2 linked regions of the Xenopus tropicalis genome follow. Each later gene encodes a partner of the first gene's protein in a complex. Links are inferred from orthologs where the notes say so. Each region holds a gene or a part of one and is shown on either strand. Other genes may lie near its edges. The genes, in order: por and hmox1.

The links.
Region 2: the proteins of por (region 1) and hmox1 are in contact, whole or in part, in a crystal structure (PDB 3WKT), measured with the Rattus norvegicus proteins. The link is inferred for Xenopus tropicalis from reciprocal best matches to the Homo sapiens genes POR and HMOX1. Residues at the interface, in NP_113764.1 of Rattus norvegicus: Thr88, Thr177, Asp208, Asp209, Arg313, Arg514, Lys515, Gln517, Arg519, Leu520, Phe522, Lys523, His626, Lys665, Met667, Thr668, Lys669, Gly670, Tyr672; in NP_036712.1 of Rattus norvegicus: Asp12, Ser14, Glu15, Gln38, Ala75, Pro76, Glu81, Lys149, Ile150, Lys153, Ser171, Asp173, Asn174, Thr176, Lys177, Phe178, Lys179, Gln180, Leu181, Arg183, Ala184, Arg185, Asn187, Thr188.

The regions. Positions count from the first base shown.
Region 1 is NC_030678.2:93,774,688-93,781,285, forward strand, and holds part of por (NADPH--cytochrome P450 reductase), read right to left. Parts: intron 5,837-6,598; coding exon 5,687-5,836; intron 5,391-5,686; coding exon 5,266-5,390; intron 4,592-5,265; coding exon 4,502-4,591; intron 3,060-4,501; coding exon 2,961-3,059; intron 2,549-2,960; coding exon 2,432-2,548; intron 961-2,431; coding exon 842-960; intron 447-841; coding exon 265-446; intron 1-264. UniProt on the Homo sapiens protein: This enzyme is required for electron transfer from NADP to cytochrome P450 in microsomes. It can also provide electron transfer to heme oxygenase and cytochrome B5.
Region 2 is NC_030680.2:115,577,065-115,584,336, reverse strand, and holds the start of hmox1 (heme oxygenase 1), read right to left. Parts: upstream 3,870-7,272; 5' UTR 3,780-3,869; coding exon 3,748-3,779; intron 1,410-3,747; coding exon 1,289-1,409; intron 636-1,288; coding exon 144-635; intron 1-143.

The sequences.
Region 1 (6,598 bases):
ACTGCACTTCATTGGATCTCAAAGACCCCTGCCTCCACCTTGGGTACCTGGGTACTTTTCTTACAGCATATAGCTACTACGGTCATAAGATACTGATTTATTGATGTACCTATGTAAAGGTATAAGGGCTTTAAGGTTTGTTTGGTTTTTTTTATACTTATTTAGTTATTTTATTATTTTTGGTGTTGTTGTGAGCAATAATTTACAGTTTGTTTTTTGCCATATAGGATTACCCAAGTCTTTTCAACAAGGCATATTGCTCACCTTTCCATCTTGTGCTGAGGAGGCCATCTTGCGCAGGTTTTCTTGCTCCTTGGAGTCAGTGGCATACTGTGCTAGTTCATAAAGCACATTGGTCCGGGGTGGATTGGTAATGTCCAAGTAGTAAGTGAGGGCAGTACGATATGTGGTAGGACAGGGGAAAGGGTGCTTTTTGTTAGACTCCTCTGCAAAAAGCAAATAAGGGCATGGAAAGGTTTTAAATAAACTTAAAAAAAAAGTTCTACACATAACACACAAACTTTGCTTAAGTCCTAAAACAGTGCGACTCCCCTCACATTTGATTAAAACCAAGACCAATGCAAATTTTTTTTGCTGCACAATAATTTGAAAGCAGAGCAGCGATGCAGACAAAATGCCTGCAAAATTTGGGAGCAATGTAGATGGTAGAAAAATTTCCTGGATTTGGGAGCAATCAAAATGTTGCAGCACCTTCATGGTACTATGACTTCAAGAATAATGTATATTTTTACTACAATATCATTTTGTGAACTGGCTTCTAATGTAGTGTTAAATGTGTCAGACTGGGTGAGACAAACCACAAGCAGTTGGTAGAACTCACCATCCAGGTTGTTCAGAGAAATCACAGTTTCAAGGTCTGCTCCCAGGATCTCTCCCAACTTGTTTACGAGCGCAGCATCATTTGCTGGGTACACAGCCACATGATCTCCCGACTCATATCTAAGGTTTAGCAAGTACAAATTGGGGGAAATTATTTCCAAGAGACACAATTAGTTGTCACATTTGTAAAGTGACCTGTTTATGGTTTTTATGAGAATGTGTATCACTTTAAAAGCTTGGGGGTTTTCAGATGAGCAAGTGCACTTTCTGCTTGTACAGACCGGCTACGTTCATTTCATCACTATTTGCCGATATAAGCATCAAGAGCCAAAGTCTTTATTAGCTGGTTTCTGCTTAGTCATGCAGAACACACGTTCCTGGTGAACTGGACAAAGTGCTCCCTGATAGAGAAAGCTACATATTTACAATATTCAGGGAATCCTAAGCCACTGTGTGCTTCAAAAAATGCATAACAGAGCCCAAACTGTTGACCATTTGCAAGGTAATTATCAAGAACACATCCAAGCTTAGTGATTCTCAAACCTTTTTAGGGAGATCCAACCACCCAACATGCTTCCTGGCCCTCTAATAAATATATTTCATGTGCATGTTTGGCTTAACAACTGCATTCCTGCTCTGTGCTGGTGGCCAGCATTAAAGTGGTACTGGCACTAAAAAACACTTGAAATAATTAATGTACACAAAAGTTACCTACAGAACATGATGATCGATTTTCACTGATAGGGCTGCTTTTGTAAATAATTGTTACTTGTAGTTCCTAAACTCGACTGTCCTTACTCAACCTGTCAGTTATAGCTACTGACTACTGCTGCACAAATATGGCGGCCCCCTCAGACAAACTTGGGGGGGGGGGGGGAGAATCTGTTAGGTAATGTAAAAGCACCAGGAAGTACATGTTTGGCAAAATTATAAAGCTCCCGCAAACAACAATGTTAAGGTATATTTAAAAAATACTTTAATTTTAAGTGTCGGTATCACTTTAAATGTGGCCCTCTACCTGTATTTTGTAAACGTGTCCCTAACATATCCCTCACATATGTGAAATATCAGTTTCCTGGCTAAACCCTGTCATTATTAAGTACACATTTCCACATTATATGTATAGAAGTTGTACAACAATTTACAGTTCAATGTACTAAGGTACAGAGAGAACAAAACAGGAACAGAATACATCTTGTAAAAACATGTTCACTTGACAAAGTTCTATTGAAATACAAGGTAGTACATTTTAAATTTAAAACATAAGTGGTAAATGATCTGCTACTGAGAAGAAGAAGTTTCAGAGAAGGCAAAGACTGAGAATTAACATGAAATTGCTTCCCTTTATAAAGAAGTGTATGGGAAGTTTTAGGTTTCATTCCACTTAAATAAAAGCTACCATAAACTGCAAAAGTAAAGACTGGTAGTTCTTCAATTTATGGCAAACAAGACATTTTCAGAGCAAAAATGCAATGTAAATGTCATTGAACCTCAATGAATTATGGTATACGCTCATGAGGATTGTTGGTACAGATAAAAATGCCTAGGCATACAGAAAAATCACTATAGACCCACAATAGTCCCACATTACCTTATCTTTGAGCCAGTGATATCTAGTTCCAAATGCATGAAATGTCGGTCTCCACCCTCATTAAGTTTGCGGTTAACTGTTGCATTAGCCAGAAAAGGATTTTTAGCATCAAAAGGTCTGCAACAAGGATAAAAAAAAATGTAAGTTAAACCGCTGAATGCCTTTACTGCCACTGCACAGATTCCATCTTAAAGAATTTTATGAAGGCACACATTAAAATGTGAGTTTTGAACCAGACCCTAGCGGTCAGAGTGTTCAAAATGCACTTTTTTGTCATCAAAATTTGTCATCAAAAGCAGCAGGGGTTGTACAGTATCTTACATAGTTACATAGGGCTGAAAAAAGACCAGAGTCCATCAAGTTCAACCCATCCAAGTAAACCCAGCACACACAACCCACACCCACCAATCTATACACCCACATACATAAACTATATATACAACCACTAATACTAACTGTAGATATTAGTATCACAATAGCCTTAGATATTCTGATTGTTCAAGAACTCATCCAGGCCTGGACTACTTACGGTTTTTGAGTTTCATAGCTCTTTAGTCGACCCATCTCTCCTGTGTACACCTTGTTCATATTCTCATCTGTGTGCACCACAAGTTCATATTGACGAATGCTAAAGGTCAAACAAATATTAGAGTTTGATGGTTTAATTTATAAATGAAACTAAGCAAGTGGGTGGCATTTAGGATAATTTAAATCTGACTACTAATGAACCAGACTGTTCTAAACCCTTAATTTTACTAGTCACCTACCGGTTTCATAGAAAGAAATCTAGAGACAACTTCCTTGCCATGTTTTTTTAGCAAAGCAAAACAGAACAGATCTGCTCATCACTAACAACCTAGCCCATACATTTTTACTACTGTATTTGAATTAGGTTACATAAAAAACAACAATATAAAAAAATAACATATGCTTATGATCAGGGCTGTGGAGTCGGAGTCGAGGAGTTGGAGTCAATTTTGGGTACCTGGAGTCGGAAAAAAATGAACCGACTCCGACTAAATTTAAATGGGAATAAAAAAAATAAAAAAAAATAAAGCAAGTTTAAATGTCCCAATTCACAAACAGTCATAATTAATTACTTCTCTGCTATAAGAATAAAGCCCAATGCACACAGTGCATAAACGAACACGTTGAGTGACCATGAAGCTTTTCATTGACTATATGCTTCACTAAATGGGACGTAACACACAGTTAAGGTGCGGCAGCTCCACTGCGTCGTGTTCCTCTGTTACAGGGAGCACAATGCCCACTGGGAACCTAGCCTAACTCTCACTGATAACTAATTAAGTAAAAAAAAAATTGCAGGACTAGAAATACTTGTATACGTGAAGGGAATGGATGGATAGTCAATAGTTTAAGACTGAAGTTTTAAAACATTTGAAAAACTGCTGTAATACAGCTGTAAGGTTAGCTTAAAGGAACAGTAACACTAAAAAATAATGTTTTAAAATAAATTAAAATATAATGTACTGTTGCCCTGCACTGATAACAGATAAGTAGCAGATTCCCATTGTATTCTACACAGTTTATCTGGTATCTTCTTATGTAACCTGTGCCTTTTCTCCTTTTTTCAATTTAAATGGCTGCCCCCATGGCTACACAGCAGGGTATTTATATAAACTGCAGTAGTGTTTATGAAGAAATCACACAACTTTTACCAGTGCAGAGCAATAGTATATAATATATTAATTATTTTTATACACTTTCATTTTTTGGTGTTACTGTTCCTTTAAACATGACTATGGGATTCTAGGGAAATCATTAGGAGTATAGATAAAATTGTCTATCAGTTTATTATCAGTTCAGTTGTGTTTTAAGTGCCCCTTCCTGGATGTATAAAATACATTAGCATATTAAAAACAGAGGAGTCGGAAGTATCAGAAACTGAGGAGTCGGAGAATGTATCTACCGACTCCACAGCCCAGCTTATGATATACACTTTCTAATTCCAGTTACAATTACTAGAGCCATAGATGGATAAATAAGCAATAACAAAGATGCACAGCATATTTCTGAATTTTTTCAGGGCTGGTACAGACAGTTGCATACCTGGAATCTTCTCCAGTTGCCTCAACTCCAAAGTGTTCACAAACTGCAGGCCAGAACTGCTCCCTCCATGTGATAAAGTCTTCTTCCAGGCTGAGTAAAATTTAGAAATATATATCATGGTTTGTTTTAGAAAGCAAGTATAAAATTAAGTGAATATTCACAGTAAAGCTATCCAGAAATATTTAGATATTTCATGAGTACTACAGAGGTTCCATAAGCACTGTGCTTTCCGTTGAGCCCAGCACAGTAACATCATTGCAAAAAGACAGAAAGTACCCTAAACAAGGAGGATTTTGATAGGAGAAGCCTCCTGAGTAAGGAACAGACTAATGCAGGCCCTATCAAGATCCATCTCTTCTTGGTAAATTAACAGGTTTGCAAAACCAGCTACTATAATGTAAGTTGAAAAAATGCCCACAAAAGTATTTCACTCTACTGTAGAAGTCACTTGAACAGTGCATTGCAGTACCATTGATGTGGAAAGGCACTAACTAAAAGCATCTGTTTAAGTGAAAAGGGTTGGCATATTTCACGCACAGTGGTGTGCACATACAGAAGTACAGCAGTTATAGTACAGTAATCAGTTTGATTCTTGACCCTACTATTACTAAATCACAGAAGGCTTTCTAGCTTAAGCCTTGGTGGTGCATAATGGTTGACACTGTACCAACAAACCTCAGTCAATGTGCTCTAGGCATTTACCAATCAAGAGATGTTTTGAGAAAGGTAGAAATGTTTCATGCCTCTTTTTTTTTTCTACTTACTTGCCATCATCGTCTCCCATTCCAAGCTCAAAAATGCGCTCAGCTCCTAATTCTTCAAGTCTTTTGTCAACATATTTTCCCATGGCATTAAAGTGCTCATATGTCTTGTTGCCAAGGCCAAAAACCTACAAAACATTAAAGAAAAAAAACCCAAAGTTTAGCACCAATCTATAATTATGTGTATCCATAACAGATTAAAGAAATACCAGAACCTAATGCAGGCTTTCAACATATACCTTGCACTGAACTAAAATAGCAGAACTAAAATCACTACTAATGAACTAACACCTTTTATCAACAATTAATACATGTATTCCTTATCCAACAGATAATGAACAAATGCATTTAGAGAGACTGATAAATGCTATTTTACTATGAACATTTTAAATTGTGCTTGCCTGAGAGTGCTAACATTACTCACTGCATACTTAAGTCCTGCAAGGTCAATGTCTGTTTCCTGAAGCCAGTCATAGAAATCCTGAGCATTATCTGTAGGATCACCTTCACCATAAGTGGCCATGCAGAAAACAGCAAGAGCGTTCTCAATTTCTGTGAGACGACTGAGATCTGTCTGCAGGGGAGAAAAAAGTGAGCATAGATTAATCTTTTATATAGGCCTCATGTGCACATCTTGGCCTTCTAGAGTCTGAATGCCTTCAATTCTCCAGTATGTTTAAATAGTGGATGACACAGATATAGTCAGTGTGGCTGGGCATCCATAAATAATGAACTATAAATAAGCTAGCAAGGTACTGGCTTTTGTAGTAAGATATATTAGAAGTTCAAAGAGCAAGTTAGGACTCCACCTTACAAATCCACCAGTACTGTATTATTCAACTCTGGATAAAAATCTTCTCCAAAAGGATATCAACAGTCACTACTCAGAAGGCTGATCTCTACACTATATAAACGGCAAGAGGTATGGGGTAAATGCTAAATAAGACCTGCTGTCAATAACAATAAAAGGTATACAACACATTCATTTCAGCAATGTATACAAAAGATATCTATGCAAGACCTTTGATAAAATTACAAAGCAAGGCTTACATTTTTCCCCCAGGATTTAGTTCCTTTAGCCAAGAACAATACAATCCTTAAAAAGCTTTGATAGGATACAGCCTTCCCAGTTAGTATTGCAAATCAATTTGTCACCAACTCGTCTGGCTTTTCACTAGTATAAGCGGTTGCTATGAATGAATCTTGGGAATGCAGCTCCACTCATTAACTTTGCATCTGAGCGTTTCTTTCTCACAGCAGAGAATACGAAAGCCTAATGACTGTCTGTAAGGGCTGTTTTCAATCAGCCTTGAACATACATAGCTCTGATGCTTTG
Region 2 (7,272 bases), on another chromosome or scaffold:
AATTTGTGTGCCATAGAATGTACAATCTACACAGCTGACACAGAAGAACCTGCATATCAGCACTGTAGATTTTACACAGAATAGCAGTTACTTCCAACTGTTGTATTTTAATTAAATAATATTTAAATATTTTAGCCTCTTACCTTGATATTAAGCAGGAATGCTGTCTTAGCTTCCTCTAATATCCTATTCATGTTATGTGTATTCATTTCAATGGAGTTCATACGGGAACGGTAAAGCTGTTTAAATTTAGTTGCATTAGTGACATTGTCAAAAGTAAAAAATGCTAAACCTTCACCACTGGCTGGAAGCTGCAGGGCCTTTTGGGCAATTTTTTTAAGAACCTGTCCGCCCGAGAGGTCTCCTAAATAACGGGTATAGGCATGAGACACTAGCAGCTCTGGCTCATTTTGCCCAACCTGGTGAAGTCTGTCAACATAATTTTTTGTTGAACGAGGACAAATAATTTTCTTCCTCCATTGCGGACCATAGAAATACTCAAGGTCTTCTTCTAGGGCATTTTTACGATGGAGTTCCATGGGGAAATAAACAGGAGAAAAGACTGGATTGTCCTTATTTCTATTAATCTCTTCCTCCAGAGCTTCATAGATGAAGTACAACGAGGACATGACCAGCTGGAAACATAAAAAATGCCACAATTAATATTTATGTATTTTGTAATTGTCAGCCTTTAAATTAGTATTACAATAGAACTACCAGTTTACATTTTATCAGAGGACTAGAAAAAGTGGTGTAAAATCTGGGACAATGTAAAATCAGGGAAATGCATTATATATTGGCGAGACCCCCCAAAAAACAATGTTAAATGGGGAAAAATGTAAAAACGGTGGATGTAAAAGTTGTATGACAGCACACAAAACTGTGGGAAATCGCATACTTGACCCCAGTATACTACTACATAGCAATATTCTGAATGTATGCTGAAATTCATGTGAAACGTACACAATTGTTGATGTTCTAAACACATGGTTACATTTTATCCTGGAGAGCCATAGGTAGAACATAACCATATTAATTTAGGTATATACTGTAGTATTTGGTGATAATTTTTTTTTACAGAACTAACAAGAGGATATCCCTGGGTTTCAGGCCAAAGGTGCACTGATCACTAATTCTTCAGTACCACTTTTACTTTAAAGAGAGTGTCAGTCTCATAAACTTGAAAAATAAACTGTTAATCCAAATAAAGTATCACCTAGTACTAATGTTTGAACATCTGAAGTTGTATACGTGTCCCTCCATGTAGAAATTCAGCTTTATACAGTACCTTGAACTCCTCTAGGGAAACTTGTCCTTTCTGGAAGTTCCTCATGAACTCTGTGTTTTCTGCCTGAACATGGACCTCCTTTGTCGCCTCTTTTAAGGCCTCAGACAAGTCTTTAAGGGAACTAAAAAAAAAGAACAAGAGGTAAATTAATCCACTGTTTCCAAAGAGATATAAAAAAAATTTGTTATGCCTGACTTAATGTAAGGCCATCTGTTAGAAAATGCGCAAGCAAGTCTTGAATGTGATGTATTAAGAAAACTATAACAAATCACAGTATACGTTGTTTCCTAATAAAGCCCATAATATGAAAAGTCAACATATTTATATTTTAAATAATATGGGTTAATTTTCACATTTAATGTATCTCTCCTAGTTAGAGTAACATATCTGATTAGCATTAGGATGGCACTTCCATTGGCACTAAAGGAATTAACTAATGCTTTGTGCATTTGAGACGTGTGAGGGTGGACAGATTGCTCTCATCTAACTGTTTGGACTATGGACAGAAGGGACGCATGAGGCGGGCTATTCCCTTAGTAGCTTGTAGGCCAGTGACCTTTGGTCATATTTGGCTTTGCAGTTTAAAGGGATACTGTTGTGATTTTTATGGTGTACTTGTTATTTCTAAATTACACTGTTTACATAGCAAATAATTCACTCTACCATTTAAAATGTTATTCTTGAACCACAAATTTATTTTTTTAGCTGTAATATTGGTGTGTAGGCGCCATCTTAGTCCACTGTGCCTGATTTGGATTTCTTACTATATCTTCTGGGAGCAGCTATCTTGCTCCCTTCCCATTGTTCTACTGATTGGCTGCTGGGAGGTGGGTGATATCACTCCAACTTTCCACTCAGCAGTAAAGTGTGACTGAAGTTTATCAGAGCACAGGTCACATGGCTGTAGCACTGTGGGAAATGAAGCATATGGCTAGCCCCACGTGAAATTTCAAAATTATATATAAAAAAAATATGTTTCCATTTTTAAAAAACTGATTTCAATGCAGGATTCTGCTGGAGAAGTGCTATTAACTGATGTGTTTTGAAACCACCTTGATTCCTTGATTTTAAAAGAAAGAAAGCAGCATAAACATTGTGAACAATCATTTGAGAACTGTTGTATAAGTTAAACATTGTTTGACTTATTGCTGCTAGTAAAACTTCTAGATCACATGTGTCAAACACAAGGCCCGTGGGCCAAATACGGCCTGCCTGGCTGTTTTATGTGGCCCATAGTAACTGTGCCTGACTGTGCAGCACCAATCGCCTGACTGCGCTGTGACTGAGATGGATCTATGCTTCTACTACCAAGTATCTTAATAAAAAATTTGACCTGTGACTTAGCCTGTATTTTAGATTTCTGCCCCCTTATGTGATTGAGTTTGACACCCCTGCTAGAGCTTTAAAGCTTATGCAAAACATGTTAAAATGTTTGAATATGGCCTTGCAAGGCTACATATAAGCAAACAAATATGACTGCTGTAAGCTAAACAAACAGTACAGTCTCCCCTGAGACATGTGGCATGAGTAATATATCAAAAGGTGTAACGTTTGCAACTGGTCTTGTGAATCATACTGAGCAATAAGTATGTAGAATTTACCGGTTAGCAGATTGAAAATTACATTAGATTGGTTATTATACTTTGGTTTCATTGTTTTTCCTAAAATACAGAGCTCAGAGAACTGTTTTTTAGGTTAGTTAATCTTAATTGAAGTAAAAGCATATCATCATTACAGTATAACAGCAGTTGGTAAGGGCTGGGCTGTCCTCCTTCTAGTGATAAAATAGCAATTTAGGCCAATGCCATTAGTGCTTGTCTGTTTCGATGAGGGACTCAAGCTCTCGGGGCTTAAAGGAGATTTTACATTGCCATCTGCTACATATTTATCATATTGCGTGTATTCATATTAACAAGCTGTAACTAGAGAACACATGGTATTAAGCAAATTATGAGACCGGTCCATTGCTTAAAACACTACCAAAAATTTTTTATCACAAGTCAATATCACTTGTGTGTGGATGTCAGCTTGCATGTATGAAAAATGACCTGTCTCTCACAAATATACGGTAATGTACAGGGCATGGGGCACATTCTGTGATGCCATGTTATTTATATAAAGCAACCATATACAGTATTGCTGTTACTTATACTATACCTGCAGTCCTAATCACAGTTTCCTAGTAGCTGTTTTCCGTACTACTTTACAAGCTCTGGGCTTGTTAAGATAAGATGTTGAATAGATGGAGCAAATATGTGATGTGTTTTAGTATTTTTCCCACCCTCCCAGCATATGCATATTACTTTTAAGCCTTAATAGGAGCATATATATGTTTAACTCAGAATTTGGTGGTAAAACAATATATGTGCGAATGCCTGTGAATGGACAGAACACAGATATCTAATTCTACATAATATATTTCAGGCATTTAGACAAGGTAATGAGTATTAAGGTGGTACCTTTTGAGTTGTTGGCTAGCAGAAGAATCCATCTCTTTTTCCTTTGTGTGCAACTTCTAGCTTAATGTTCCAAGCCGCTGGCTGTTTAGTTACTGAGTCAAAGCTGCTCCCTTTTTATATGCCTCTTGTTTCCCTTCTAGGATCACGTGGCTGTAGGACAAAAAAAAAAAAAAAAAAGAAGCTGAGTGAGTGTTTCCTCCAGGAGGGAGGGGGTGGGGGGAAGAGGAGCAAAGTAGAGGGGGGCAGGGGTGAGGGGAACATAACAGGATGTGTTCATTTTTCAGATTCACATGATTTTGGATTCAAAATGATAAAGACAAAACAGCAGAACAAAACATCAGCACAGAAAAAAGTATATTTACCAGTGAAGGTGGGTACAGCAGCAGCTCACATTTAAACTTTCACTTTAAACTTTGGTTGCGCTTCCTCCTGCAGCCACATCATTTTTACCATAATTTGTTAAGTTTTCATTTACAACATGCAAGGACAAGAAGGGTGTATAAATTGCAGAGACAACAGTTCTGGGTGTGAGGATTAACAAGGGCCCTTAAAGGTTTTGACTAAAAGTAAAGCAGAGATGTAACTATCTGGCAGATCTTGAAAAACCACTGTAGCATCAGGATGCCTGAAAGGTTGCACATGTGACAGTCAAAGGCAGGTTCATAGCTTGCCCCCCCCCCCCCCCCAGCCATGTTTCCACTTGTAAATTTCTTGTTGTCGCTTGGGCCCCTGAAGGAGAAAAGACCATTTTTTGTACTTTCCTGAATCTCACTGCCCCCTCTTCCCATTACTCCACTAGTCAGAAGCAGCATCTGTTCATATACTTGTTCATATATTTGCCCTGGGTCTGGATCAGGACCAGAAATAAAACACAGAATAGTGTTGTAGAGCCACAGCCCCAGTGTAGGATTATTTTGCAATTAGCCTGTTATTCTGGCATCTGTTTGCACTCTGGGCACATGAGCAAGTGGCATGACAAGCAGTGCACAGACGTTGCACACTGGAGTAATCCACCCAGTGTGTGCACAATGTAACAATGGTAACAGTTTGTTATTGGTTCCATTTCACTATGTGCTGACTAATAGAATTGATTACCTTACAATATTGGCAGGCCTAAACACTTGTCACATCACATTCATGAACAAAAATGCGATACTTGTCACAGACATGATACAGAAGAGAACAAACAAAAGTAATCTATACCAAGAACTGCGCGTTGTCGGTGACTAATAGATAGATGCCTTTTGCACAATGCAGTTCTTTCTCACTGCTTCATGAAGCTTCCAGCTGGCTGTGCTTTCACTTCCTCACCCCCCTCCCTCACAGCCCCCCCCCCCCACCAACCACACACACACAGCATATGACCATGACACAGCAAAATCTCAACATGGAGCTGGAGAGGGTAAACATGACTCAGCAGTGCAATCTGGCTTTCTGCTAAATAACTGATGCACTCTTTTGGGTTTGCCTTGTTTTACGTTATAATGCATGACTGGCTTTATGGAGCAATAACTTTGAAAAGGAAAATTTACAAAATATATATTTTTAAAATGTTGTTCATTATGCATTTTAAAGATAGTCTTAAAGAACAAGGAAGGCATTATTCACTGGGGTGCCAATTTGATAGGGATCAGTGAATAAAATGGAGCTGAAATCATGATGTGGCATTTTCTAACATTTAGCTGGTGTGTTTTTTTTTACAGAAAAAGGAGTACCTACCTGGGGAAGTGAATTTGGCTTTCTTTTGCCTGTAGCTAGAGCTACATTCCTGGGATGTACATTTCCCAGGGATTTTTTTTCAACAGGTAATTATATGACCAGCCTCAAATCCTTTTCCCTATTATGCCCCAACCATGTCCTTAGTTATGCCAAAAATTATTTATAAATCTAAGAGACAGAAAGTACTGGTTGAAATCCCTGCCTATTAAAAAACTGAGAATGATTTAAAAGATATGAATGGTTATTTCCCCAACCCCATTTTTCTCTCTTCAGTATTGTGTGTTTTCTCTTATAACCTATATGACCTATAAATGCTACATGCTAATTGTTGCCTTAGGCAAACAGCACATGTACCATAGTTACATAGTTAAGATGGGTTGAAAAAATTACAAATTCAACCCCTCTAAGTGAACCCCAGTGCATATATATTAAGGATGCACCGAATCCAGCATTTGGTTCGGTATTCGGCCTACAGTCCTGGCCGAACTGAATCCAATCCACTCTAATTAGGATTCGGATCTGGTTCAGTATTCAGCCAAATCCCTTAACAGGGATTGGGGCATTCAGCCGAACCCAAAAAACTGGGTTTGGGGCATCCCTAATATATATACTTATACAGACCTATCTATACACTCGTATATAACATAGTAATGTAGAAAAAAGACACACGTCAATTACGTTCAACCATAATGCCTATACATAACCTGCCTAACTGCTAGTTGATCCAGGGCGAGGCAAAATCAGACCAGTCCCTGGGTAAACTTGTACTATGAGCTATCTTCCATAAGCCTGTATTTCCTCACTTTCTAAAAAGCCATCCAACTCCTTCTTGAAGCTATATAATGTATCTGCCAGTACAACTGGAGAGAATTCCACAACTTCACGTATCTCACATTAAAAACCCTTTCGGGATATTTAGACAGAACCTCCTTTCTTCTAATCAAAATGGGTGCCCTCATGTCAGTTGTAAGGACTGGTAAATAAAGCATTAGAGATATTTTTATATGATCCTGTTATATAATTATACAGTTAGCATATCACCCCTTAAAGAAGAAGGAAATTCATTTTGGCATTTTACTGCCAATAGATTTGCCAAATTAGTGCCAACTAGAACAAAATATTTATTCTACAGAAACTGATACCATACCTGAGTAAACAGCTTTAGAAGCTTTAAGCTTGCTTAAGATAACAGCTGCCATTTTAAGTAGCTTCCTTTCTGCAGTCTAGCCGTTATAGCTGAGATCACACATTCACAGGGAGGGGGGAGGGAGTTCTAAGCACTCTAGTGGGAGGGGGAGCAGGAGAGAGGAGAGAGCTGTGCAGACTCTGGCCATGGGAATTAAGAATGTTTCTGAGGTAGGAAGTCAGACACTGGAACATCATGTTTACTAAAAAAAGGGACAAGAAATCCTGTGTTTCTTTTGATAGAGGACTCAGTGCAGCATTACTGTAAGTGCTTATGGCTGTATTTACATAGACCTTTCTGATAAAGATTACTTAGTTTTTACCTTTCCTTCACTAGGAAGGGCATTCCCCAACCTCACTGCCCTCACTGTGAAAAACCCTTCGTTGTCAAACGAGAGGATATTTTCCTGATTTTGGCCACATCAGACTCATCCAATTGTTTTGCCCCTAGCCCAATGATTGGCTCATAGTGAAGGCCTATGCAGACCTATTGAGAGATGCTTTCACACGATTCGACAGAATATTGAGCAGGGCTACATACATGGGCAGATAAGCTACCAACTTAAGTGGCTTCTGGCAAAATGCTAGAGGTACTGCTGTAAGATGCCATAAACAGTTTTT